Neurospora crassa OR74A: one gene and its partners. The protein of the gene in region 3 purifies or fractionates together with the protein of the main gene of each other region. This does not show direct contact. Links are inferred from orthologs where the notes say so. Each region holds a gene or a part of one and is shown on either strand. Other genes may lie near its edges. The genes, in order: NCU09475, NCU01675 and rbg-40.

What was found.
Region 1: the proteins of rbg-40 (region 3) and NCU09475 purify together in Saccharomyces cerevisiae (affinity purification with western blotting; 8 studies listed by BioGRID, with this or other methods). This does not show direct contact. The link is inferred for Neurospora crassa OR74A from reciprocal best matches to the Saccharomyces cerevisiae genes RIO2 and RPS5.
Region 2: the proteins of rbg-40 (region 3) and NCU01675 purify together in Saccharomyces cerevisiae (affinity purification with mass spectrometry; 4 studies listed by BioGRID). This does not show direct contact. The link is inferred for Neurospora crassa OR74A from reciprocal best matches to the Saccharomyces cerevisiae genes RIO2 and RRP12.

What each region holds. Positions count from the first base shown.
Region 1 is NC_026502.1:4,399,360-4,403,106, reverse strand, and holds NCU09475 (40S ribosomal protein S5), read left to right. Parts: upstream 1-1,526; 5' UTR 1,527-1,734; coding exon 1,735-1,828; intron 1,829-1,893; coding exon 1,894-1,939; intron 1,940-2,207; coding exon 2,208-2,391; intron 2,392-2,466; coding exon 2,467-2,784; 3' UTR 2,785-3,416; downstream 3,417-3,747. Other genes in the region: NCU09476 (40S ribosomal protein S25), read right to left, coding at 707-732, 827-1,036, 1,191-1,248; NCU09474 (acetyltransferase), read right to left, coding at 3,558-3,747. UniProt on the Saccharomyces cerevisiae protein: Component of the ribosome, a large ribonucleoprotein complex responsible for the synthesis of proteins in the cell.
Region 2 is NC_026502.1:2,739,586-2,743,332, forward strand, and holds the start of NCU01675 (90S preribosome component RRP12), read right to left. Parts: upstream 2,846-3,747; 5' UTR 2,750-2,845; coding exon 2,678-2,749; intron 2,536-2,677; coding exon 1-2,535. Other genes in the region: NCU01674 (alpha-soluble NSF attachment protein), read right to left, coding at 3,263-3,677. UniProt on the Saccharomyces cerevisiae protein: In association with GSP1, required for nuclear export of both pre-40S and pre-60S ribosomal subunits. Required for the late maturation of the 18S and 5.8S rRNA of the pre-40S ribosomes and for maturation of the 25S and 5.8S rRNA of the pre-60S ribosomes.
Region 3 is NC_026504.1:2,085,314-2,089,060, reverse strand, and holds rbg-40 (serine/threonine-protein kinase RIO2), read left to right. Parts: upstream 1-1,456; 5' UTR 1,457-1,620; coding exon 1,621-2,904; 3' UTR 2,905-3,152; downstream 3,153-3,747. Other genes in the region: rpn-1 (26S proteasome regulatory subunit rpn1), read right to left, coding at 1-438, 505-575, 648-777; NCU07723 (norsolorinic acid reductase), read right to left, coding at 3,195-3,747. UniProt on the Saccharomyces cerevisiae protein: Required for the final endonucleolytic cleavage of 20S pre-rRNA at site D in the cytoplasm, converting it into the mature 18S rRNA. Involved in normal export of the pre-40S particles from the nucleus to the cytoplasm.

The DNA of each region.
Region 1 (3,747 bases), on a different chromosome or scaffold from region 3:
TTCTCACCGAGATGGGTTCAACGGAGTCTGGCAGATAAGAGGCACTCGATAAGAAATTTAATTAGCTTTGTCCACTTCCATGACCGTGACCGGATACCTCAACGGCCAGGCGCGGTCATAGTGTACACGATATGGGACCTGTTCATCATAGGGCTGGACTAGTGTCGTGGAGAATTCCATCCAGCCATCGATAGGTCCATACATCATTCACATACGTCACTGGCATATCGTGTGAACTCAGATGTTGCTTTGAGGCAGTAAATTAGTTTCCTATTCTACCGCCTCTAGTCCTTCTTGTCCTCTTCCATGGATTGGGGTATCATAGAGAACTGCCCATGGGCCGTTCCCATCGGACTAGGCGCGCACACACACGGCTTGCACGTAAGCATCGAACTCGGGTACAGCTCTTTCCCAGGCAGATAGGAGGCGAGTCTGCCCCGTTCGTTTGTCGTGATCTTGGTCGTTCCGTTCGTATCTTCCGATCGATGCATAATCCCAGTGTGATTGTGTAAAGAATCTGAGGAGCACTTCCCGATTCCCCTCCCACTAAAATGCTACACCGTGTGCATTGTGCATGCAAAGATTGACCATTCCCACCAGAGACGTAGCCCGATCAAAAAAGTCAAACCCCTTCTTGTCGCTGACGAACCACCTTTTCAAGTCTGCCGGTCCGTCATGTCAAGAAAATCGCTAGGTGTTTGGACATTTACTCGTCAGCGCCAATGGCACGGGCTGTAGAAGTCGCGTGTTAGCTAATTGTTCTCGAATATGTCTCTGATCGAAATCCAATGTCGCCGGTCAGTTCAACCGGGCGAGGGAGACGTACTGTAGATCTTCATCTTGCTGTGTCCAACAACCTGCTTGATCTGACCCTTCTCCTCGAGGTCCTTGAGGCAGCGGCGGGCAAGCGAGCCGTTGATCTTGAGACGGTCGACGAGGGTGGCGACGGTGACAAGGCGGTAGGACTGGACGTCCTTGTAAAGCTTGTCGGAAGTGGACTTGTCAAGGATGACGGCGTGCTGGGCCTTGTCCTTGACTGTGGGTGTGTGTCAGTGAATTTGGCCCAAACTTTTCGTGTTGTCGGGGAGCGCCATCACGGCAGTGACGACGGCCATGACGGCGACAGTCGTGAAGCCATCATCATCTGCTGGAAATGACGACCCCGAAAAATGGACAGAGATTCTCCTTACCCTTGCCCTTGGACCACTTCTTCTTCTGCTTCTTAGCACCAGACGCGGCGGGAGCCATTTTGAATGATGAGTTCTGGTGGTTTGGTGGATGAAGGGGAGAGGGAGAGACAGTCCTGGCTTCAAGGTCTTTTCCTCTGCGCAACGAAAAGGCGGGGAGATTTTTCTGGTCGGCGCGCAGGCAAGTGTGGCTCGGGCGCTGGGCTGGTCTCTGCGCACGCACACACTGCACACACTCCGGCCAGTGACTGCGGGTGCGCGCCAGGCCAAGCTTAGGTTAACTGAGCCCTAACCATTTTGCTCCCCCTTTGCGGCAACCAGCGTGGCGGTGCACGGGCCGCACAACTGGGGGCACAACTGGGTCTTTTGGGGCTTCGTAGCGGCAGATTGGGGCTTGACCACCTGGGGCGGGGCCACCAAAAAATTCCCACGACGACCCGTCACTCTCCGCTCGCCGAACGACCACCCTTTCGACGTTATCCTGTCCGAACTCACGGCCAACTTCACCACCAATTACCTGCAGTCCGGCCACCGAACAGCAATCAAAATGTCTGAGGGAGAAGTTGACGTCGCGGCCGTTTCCCAGTACGAGGTCCTCCCCAAGGAGGTCCTCGCTGAGGTTGGCAGTGTGAAGCTGTTCAGTATGTTTTCTACGGTCCTTCGCAAAGTGCACATGGGCGTCGTCATGCTAACTTTGCGACCTCAGACCGCTGGAGCTACGAGGATGTCGAGATCAGGGATATCTCTTTGACGTAAGCGCAACCCGTTTAGATGATGCACACATACCAAAACAACCAAGAACACGGCCCTTTCAGATTGCTACGAAAACGCGATCCGACGGACATGTACGCGAGAAGGAGAAGGAAAAGAAAGAGTCAGGAAAATGTTGGAAATTAGGAGTTACGATTGATCGCCAATTCGGTTGGAGGACGTGGGGGATTTGGGCAACATCCATCTTGGTCGCAAAGATGATACAAGACACATACGCGAACGGAGGGCTAACGACCAATATCTACGCAGCGACTACATCCAGATCCGTTCTCCCGTCTACCTCCCCCACTCCGCTGGTCGCTATGCCGCCAAGCGTTTCCGCAAGGCCAACTGCCCCATCATTGAGCGTCTCACCAACTCCCTCATGATGCACGGTCGCAACAACGGCAAGAAGCTCATGGCTGTCCGCATTGTCGCTCACGCCTTCGAGATCGTAAGACTTCCCGAAATGCGCAATAATCTGCGATACGCGATTATCCAGACACAGTCACTTACACACGATATCTAGATCCACCTCATGACCGACCAGAACCCCATCCAGATCGCCGTCGATGCCATCGTCAACTGCGGTCCCCGCGAAGACTCCACCCGTATCGGTTCCGCCGGTACCGTCCGTCGCCAGGCCGTCGATGTCTCTCCCCTTCGCCGTGTCAACCAGGCCATCGCCCTCCTCACCACCGGTGCTCGCGAGGCTTCTTTCCGCAACGTCAAGTCCATTGCCGAGTGCCTTGCTGAGGAGCTGATCAACGCCGCCAAGGGCTCCTCCAACTCGTACGCCATCAAGAAGAAGGATGAGCTCGAGCGTGTTGCCAAGTCCAACCGTTAAAGCGGTTCTGGCTGGCTGCAGGTGTATGGGGGAAACTTGTTGGGTGCTTGGAGTTGTTGGACGGATTCTATTCGGCATGTTTTGCTCGGCTGCTACTACGGCTGCATTTGTTGCGCGTTAAAAGGGAACTGGGTCTGGGAGGATGCGGTTCTTCTACGGCACTTAGGTCAAAACAGGCAGGCACTCAATAAGGGCTCTCAGACATTGAATGAGAGGAAAACGTGGATTTGCGGACAAGATTTTAAGTGCATATACCACGAGGCGCCGGTGATTCGGTGAAATTATGATTCCCCTTTTCTTTCCATGCATGACGTCCGTTTGACCATGAGTGAACGACTGAACATCAGTTCCAACACCTTTTTGCTTTCAGACTTAACGTCCCTACCCTCTTTTTGTATGATACAACATATCGCAAGCGCTAATAGCAAGGAAGCATTTTCGCTGAATCTCCCTGGCTCCAACAACATGACGTAAGTCATCTGCCGCTTCAGGCTCCTGCTTAACGTCACCGCTACAGAAGTCTAGCTGCTCATACTTCATCATGTATTAGTTTCAATAGGGCGGTACTTCTGCCATCAAGTGAATTAACGACTCAAGACTTCCTCTAGCCCTTTATGACCCATCTTCCCATCACCCTTTTTATGGTATCAATGTCACACACACCCGCTAACAAGAAGGAAACACTGTCACAAATACCACTACCAACCACCAACATCTTTGCCCAATATCCCCCAATGTCCATTCGTCCTCAGCCCCGACTCCGGCAGATACCCCTACGCCCTCGCATCCACCCGACAAAACATGCCAACATGCTCAATCCCCTCCTCCCACCACCTCCCCATCTCTTCATCTACCACAAAGCCAGCCCTCTGCCAAGCACCGACGGCACTGACCTGGGCGTGAACGCAAAACAGACCTCGCCACTTAGGCATCATCCTCGCGTCCCTTTCCGGATCGATTCCC
Region 2 (3,747 bases), on a different chromosome or scaffold from region 3:
CATGTGGGGGGTACTGCCAGCCAAACCGGCACTGACCATGGTGAAGAACTCCTCAATAGAGGCGGTAGCCGCAGGAGCATCCGCGGGCATGTGAGGGACCTTGCTGTTATCGATCAAAGAGCCCTGAGCAGAAACCATCTTCTGGCCAAGGAGAACCAGAAGGTCGAAGGCGGTAGTGCGAGCCTTCTCGTTGTGCTCCTTGCAGCCAATGACAACCTCTGAAAGAATGGAGGGAATGAAGTGCAGGGAATCGTTGGGGATGAAGTGAATCAGAGCAGCAATGGCAGCCAGGCGCTCTCTCCGGGCAGGTGCCGACACCTTCTCAGAGCTGGACAGGAACAGGGTTTGGAGCTCGCCATGTCTCTCCTCGAGGGCGGCCTTGCCGATGGGGGAATCCGCCAAGCGAGGAATGAGCTTGTAAGCCTTCTTCTGCAGCTGAGGGTCATCATCCTTGAAGATGACCACTGAAGCGATCTTAAAAAGAGCCTCGAAGCTGGCACGGGGGAGGTAGATAGACATGGTAACGACCAGGTCCATGAGAGTGTGCGCGGCAGAAGGCATGTGATCGGCCTTCTGCTGTTGTTGGGGCTTCTTCTCAACAGCCTCTTGAAGAGCCTCGGCGAGCTTCTCGCACACCATGTCGAAAGTCTCGGTAAGACGCGCGGGAGGGATGATGCTGAGGTAGGCGTTGATGGTCTGGAGGACAGGGCCGCGCTTCTGGGGGAGAGTGGTGCTGTAGACGTTGAAGAGAACAGCGAGGAAATCAGCTGCAAAGGTGGCTCCGAGGTACTCCAAGTTCTTCTGCGCCTGCTCCTTGCTGACCCTGCCAAAGAGAATGAGGTCATCGACCTCATCGGAAGTGGCGATGGCCTGGTTGGACTCAACAACGGTCCTGAGGGCGCGACAAATATCCAAGCGCAGGTCAACCTGCTCATACAAAAGGTTGGTCAACATCTCAGCGAAGCCTGTGTCAAAGGCCTCGACAAGATCAAGTGGAAGGTCGCAGTAGCCGGGAAGAATCGACCAAATTTGCTGAACAACAGTCTCGAAAATCTTGATGTGAATGTTCTTCTCGCCCTGGTGCTCAATCACACGCTGGAACATGATAGCACTGAGAGGAACCAATTCGCTCTTGAAGTGTGCAAGATTGGTGTTGGAGGTGTAGTCACGGAGAAGAGGAAGCATCCAAGCTCTGCCAGGCTGACCCTTGACGGGCTTCGCGAGGTTCAGGGGAAGAACATTCAAGACCGCCTCAGGACCCATTGCACGAATCGCCTTGCCAAGGACCTCGTCGGCTTCCTGCTTTCCAGCGAAAGAATCGTTACCGCGGATTTCGCCGATGCTCTTGACGACGGAAAGGAGGTAAGGGTTAGCCTGCCACCGAAAGGCATCGAACATGGCACCAAGAACGTTGAAAGTCTCCATCCAGGCAGCTTGGTACTGGACGGTGAGAAGGCCCTCGACAACCTTGACTAGTTGCTGAATGACCTTCTCGTCAAAAATCGAAGGCTCAAGGATGGCCTCCTTGGGGACACAGTTGGCCAGGAAGGAGACCAAGCACTCGGACGCCGAAACGCGAATATTCTTGTGCTGGGACTCGAGGTATCCTGCAACCAGAGTGAAAGGATCGACCAGCTCTTGGAAGGTCTCGGCGGGCGAAATCTGACCGGCAACATCGTAGGCTCTCGACAGAATGGCGATCCAGGGAGGGAGAAGCTGGGTATCGTTGGGCGCGGGACGGAGCTCTCTGATGATCTCGAGCAGCCGAGGAAGCTTGGCGGAGGCAACCTCGTCGGCGGCCATGCCCTCGAACATCATCTCGAAGATCTCGAAGACAGCCATGCTCATGTGCTCGTTGCCCGTCCGGGCAATGCTGAGAAGGAGCTCGCACAAAGACTCAATGCTCTTGCTGGGCCAGCCACCGCTTCCAGAGGCGACAGCCTTGACGAGTTGCAAGGCGTGGATAAGCTCGGGATCGTGGGTAGAGTCGGTAGTCTTCTTTTCCTTCCTCTGGGCGGCGGCCTTGTCAGCGACAAGACGGAGGCTCTGCATGGCTGTCTCGGCGCACATGGGGGCGGCGGGGTGGTCGAGAGACGGGCTCGGCGGAGGGTTCTTCAGGATGTTCCTGAGCGCTTCCTGGGCTCTCTTGCGGACTTTGGGACGCGGGTCGAGGGCAAGGGCGAGGAGGCCGGCCACAGCCCGGCGGGGGCCAATCTGGGCGGTACCGAGCTCCCACTGTGTCGCATCTTGAGCAAGGAGCAAGCTCTCGAGAGAGCCGATCGAGGCCCTCATGAGGGGAGCATCGGCATCGGGGAGGGATAGTACTGGCGCGAGGATGGTGATGATCTGAGTGAACTTGGCCTGAAGAATAGGCTTTGGAGCGAAGGGAGTGACGACATCGAGGAGGTAGACGACGGGGGTCGCGAGGTTTTCGTTGTTGAGTAGACTGAGAAGGGCAGCGAAGTAGGCGGTAGGAGTCGCGGGTGTATTGCGCTCCTTGAAGGTGGCCTCGATAGCCTCGAGGACACTGGCAGTCTGTGGCTCAAGTCAGGGTCCATTGTCCACGATGGAGGCGGCCTTGCGACAGGCCACTGCAATGGCAGGCTGGAAGGAAGAGGGTAGGGATGCAGAAGACAAAAGATGGAAAAAGGAGAGATGCATCATGACTCTGGCTTACCTGCTTCTGGCTCTGGAGATTCGGAGACCGAATCTTGTCCAGTTTCTCCTGCAAAGACGGAGAAGAAGCCATCGTGAATGTGATGGAATGGCGCTGGAGTGGGACAATGCAAGCCGCTTCGCAGTGCTGAAATCGATGTCATGAAGAACAGAAAAGTTCGAAAAGTTGTCGCTTATCGGCGCGCACGCCCCACCCGCTGTCATTGATAAGGGTCTGGCGCTAGTCCGAAGCGGCTCCCAACTGTAACTCCAGGGTTAGCTATGGCATCTCATGCTTATAGAGGTACCTATGTTTCGCTTGGGCAGCCATCAAGGTTATGAGATACAACAATTCATGTTGGATCGTACGAACAACGCGTACCCACTAGGAACAAGTTTCTATTGCTTTAAGCCCATCTCTACCCCAGACAGCAGGTTTGTTTGGGTCTTCCGTAAATCACCAAAGCGTCGATGACCGTATTCATGATATGACAGTTCATCCCCCTCCCAACCAGAAAACGCCGGTACGATAACAAAGAAAAGAAAAAGGAAAGAAGGAAACCAGAAAGTGATAAATGGCTGTATATCACAAGTTCCTCCACCCTGTTTATGAAAACTCGTTGTCTGCCTCCTCAAAGTTGTTCTTGATCTGGAGAAGAACAGCCGCCTTCCAGTCATCGAGCCGGCTCATCTTATCGTACGCGGCAAGCTTATCCTGGAACATCTCGAGGTTGTTGTTTGAGGCTGCTTCCAACAAGTCAACCAGGAGTTGGTATTCGCGCTGGCCCGTAAATGATGGGTCCTTCTCGGCATACTTGGTGATGTTACGCTGAGCAGTGACCATATCCTTGGTCGCCAAGGAGCAGAGACCGGCCTTGAGGAAGTACTCCTTGACCGAGTACCTCATCAGGTTGTTGCCGAGTGAAGCCTCCGCAACCTTCTCGAACTTCTCTATAGCGGCGAAAAAGTCGCCCGCGAGGGCAGAGAGGTCGGCCACCTTGAGCCACAGCTTGTTCGCAAGACTACACACAGCTGGTTAGAACGACCTGTTGGACTCGTAACATGGCGCAAAAGCCGTGGGCATTAATCACT
Region 3 (3,747 bases):
ACTCATCAGATCGACGGCATCGGCTTCAGCGTTGCTCTTGAGGAAGAGCGGCACCAGAACCAGGGCAAGATCGACCAGCTCTTGAGTCGGCTCATCATTGGCTATGCGCTTGGCGTAGACCTCGCCAATCTCGAGGGCGAGATGGCGAACGTACTCATGACCCCACGAGCCAATGTCCTGTGTTGGGGAAAGAAGTCTGTATTTCAGAGTATCCTGGCGGTCCTCGTCCGAGTATGTCATACCGATCACCGATAGAACATCTGCGAGAGATGACTTATCATCGCCAGCGGGCCACTCGTCGTAGAGTTTCGTCATGGTTTCATAATGCGGGCGCAGGAACTTGAGCGGCTTCGGTACCGCCGTCATGGAGGATGTGGATGTCTTGATAGAGTTCTTCATGGCCTCGAGGGCCGGCTTGTAGAGGGTCGCATCGGATTCCTGAAGACATTGTACTGTTAGAGAAGCCGGTCTTCAGCCTGTATCACGTCATTGCGAAGCACCAACCGTTAGCCGCTCAACGAGCATCTCAAGCTCGCTCTTGAGCTGCTGATCCTCTTCACTGAGTTCCTCGGAAGCTAACGCAAAGCGCTGTCAGCAGAAGCCCGGCGCCGATACCTCAAGTCGGTCGGAGTGGCCGAGAAACCCACCATTCTGTTCCTCCTCCTTCTTTCCGTTTGCGGGGGTCTTTCCATCGACATCTTGGTGCTTCTTCTCGTCATCGACGGCCTTTCCCTTGCCCTTATCGGCCGTCTTGGACAGGTCGCTTTCTTGCGCCATGATTACTGGCCGTGATGGTTGTAGGTGGGAGGATTCGCGGAGCCGATGGGTCCAGTTGGAGGGGAAACCAAGGTCGGTTGGGCTGGCCGGGGTAGGTGGACGCGGCGGTGGCGTTCGCTGCTGCAAGAAATGTTCAAGTTTTGTCACCGAGTTTGCTTGAGCGACAGGAACTTGAGCTCCAGTCGTGAGCAGAATGTCAAAATCAAAAGTGGATGAGCTGGCTGCGGTTGTTTGGAGGTTGTTATGTTGTTCAGGTGACGGTTTTGGAGGTTGGAGCTTTTGCAGGTTCGCCCAGAAGCACCTCAGTTGCTGAAAGCCAGCAAAGGTCAGTGGCAGTTACGGTACTAACGCCAGGGAGCTCCGATGGTGGTTACGCGACTCGCTTGCCGCCTGAAGCTCCCCCGTCTGGCTGAGAACGCCCCTGCGATCCAATGCTGCCCGCCTCAAGTGGGTCTGGAAGCCTCGGTGGGGACGAGGCGTCATCAGAGCCTGGAAGATACAAATTCCGCTCCCCCCAAGCTTCTGATAAGATAAGCTACTGGCCTGGACCTGGCGCTTGACCGGGCAGGCACAGCTCAGCGAATGGAGCCCACGGCCAGCCCTATCTTATCGGGAAGATGTTATCGCAACCGTGCATTTGGAATTTGGGGGACGCCCACTTTCCATTCTGGACATCAGCTTTGCGCTTCACCCACCTTGACTTTGACTTTGACGAGAGCGTCGTAGACAGCAACCTAATAGCTCTCTTGGATCAATACAACATCAGAAAATCTCTCACAGCAATTAGGCCGACAATCACCTGAGGGGAAAAAACAAAAAACATCCAAAAAGAAACACACAATCATGTTTTTGGACACCAGAGTTTTACGCCATCTCACGGCAGAAGACTGGAGAGTCTTGACTGCCGTTGAGATGGGCAGCAAGAACCACGAGCTCGTCCCGACCCCTCTGATCGAGAGAATTGCCCGTCTCAAGGGCGGTGCCAGTGGTGTTCACAAGAGCATAGCGACCCTTGCCAAGTCTGGCCTCATCGGACGCATGAAGGAGGCCAAGTACGACGGCTACCGACTGACCTACGGCGGTCTTGACTATCTGGCCCTACACACCCACTCCTCGAAAGATGTCGTCTACAGCGTTGGCAGTCGTGTGGGTGTTGGCAAGGAATCCGACATCATGATCGTAGCCGACAAGACCGGCAAGCAGAAGATTCTCAAGATCCATCGCCTAGGCCGCATTTCCTTCCGTACCGTCAAGTCCAACCGCGACTACTTGCGCAACCGGCAAGGCGGCTCATGGATGTATCTCTCGCGGCTTGCGGCCATGAAGGAATATGCCTTCATGCAGGCTCTCCAAGAAGAAGGCTTTCCCGTTCCCGAACCGATTTCCCAGTCCCGACACACTATCGTCATGAGCCTGGTCGAGTCCCTACCACTTAGACAGGTCTCCTCGGTTCCAGACCCCGCGAGCCTCTACGCTGAGCTTATCGACCTCATCCTTCGATTGGCCAAGCACGGGCTCATCCATGGTGATTTCAACGAGTTCAACATTTTGATCAAAGAGGAGCGGACCACCAAGTACACGATCGAGGACGGCGAGGAGAAGGAGACGGAGACGGTAACCCTTGTCCCAGTCATTATCGACTTCCCACAAATGGTGTCTATGGACCACGTAAACGCCGAGATGTACTTTGACCGCGATGTCGAATGCATCAAGAGGTTCTTCAAGAAGCGCTTCCACTTTGTGCCCACACAACCCGGTCCTTTCTTCAAGGATGCTAAGAAGACGGTTGGCAAGGATGGAGCTAAGCGGTTGGACGCCACTGTGGAGGCTTCAGGATTTACCAAGAAGATGCTCAAGGAACTGGAGAAGGCTATTCAGGAACAACAGGCGAAGATTGATGCGGGTGAGGCTGTGGAGGAAGAAGAACTCGACGAGGACGAGGACGAGGATGAGGAGGATGATAGTGGAAGCGATACAGATGATGAGGAAGATGAGGAAGATCAACAAGAGGAAGAGGAACACGCCGTGTTCGAGATTCCGGCAAATGTTGGAAGGCCTTTGTCAGATGCAGAGAAGGGGCTGGAAAAGTTATCACTTGGCGGCAAGGGCGGCAAGCGAAGGGCTTGAAGCACATCGAGAGGAGAAAAGAAACGCGTTTCATGTCAGCTTTGAGATACCCCCAAATCCTATGCATTTCTATCAAGCAAATTTGTACTAAGACGTGCCAAGCAGGTTTTTAAGACTTTACGCTTATCAGTTTTTTTGCAACCCATATGTTGATTATGACACCCTCCGCAAAAGCAGTTTGACACACGTCACAATCGAATAAAGCCCAACTTGAATCACATTGAAACGTACTAATACTTTAGCTTCTGCTCCCACCTAACCTTCAAAGACCTCTGGCGGCGATGTCGGCTCTACTGACCATTTTCCGCCGCTGGCACGATAGGCTTCGGCACCGGGACATAATCATATGTGCCCGCCATACCCATCAACCAAACCTGACTGGGGTGCGCAGGAACCTTCTCTCCATACAAGAATGAGCTAGGAAACCCAATATCGAACGGAACCGCGCTCTCAATCTCGTCGATATCCTTGTCCGACAACGCCAGCGTGAGCGCCTCAATGTTACCCTTCAGGTGCTCGACCGACCGGCCGCCAACAATCGGGAACACGTACGGAGCCTTGTGCATCACGTACGCCAGGGCGACGGAGGTGATGGCTGTGTTCTTACGCTGCGCAATCTTCTCCAGAGCCCGGCTGATTTTGATCTGCTCCTCGGTCGCCTTGATCTTGCGGCCTTCGTTGGCTTGCTGCTGGCGCTGCTCCTCCGATTTGAAGCTGCCGCCCCCGAGGGCCCCCCAGGGCGCGAGCCCCATGCCTTCGTCCCGGCACATGGGAATGATGTCCCGCTCAAAGTCGCGCGAGGCGGCGGACCACCGGCCTTGGTAAATGCAGAACTGCCGAAGT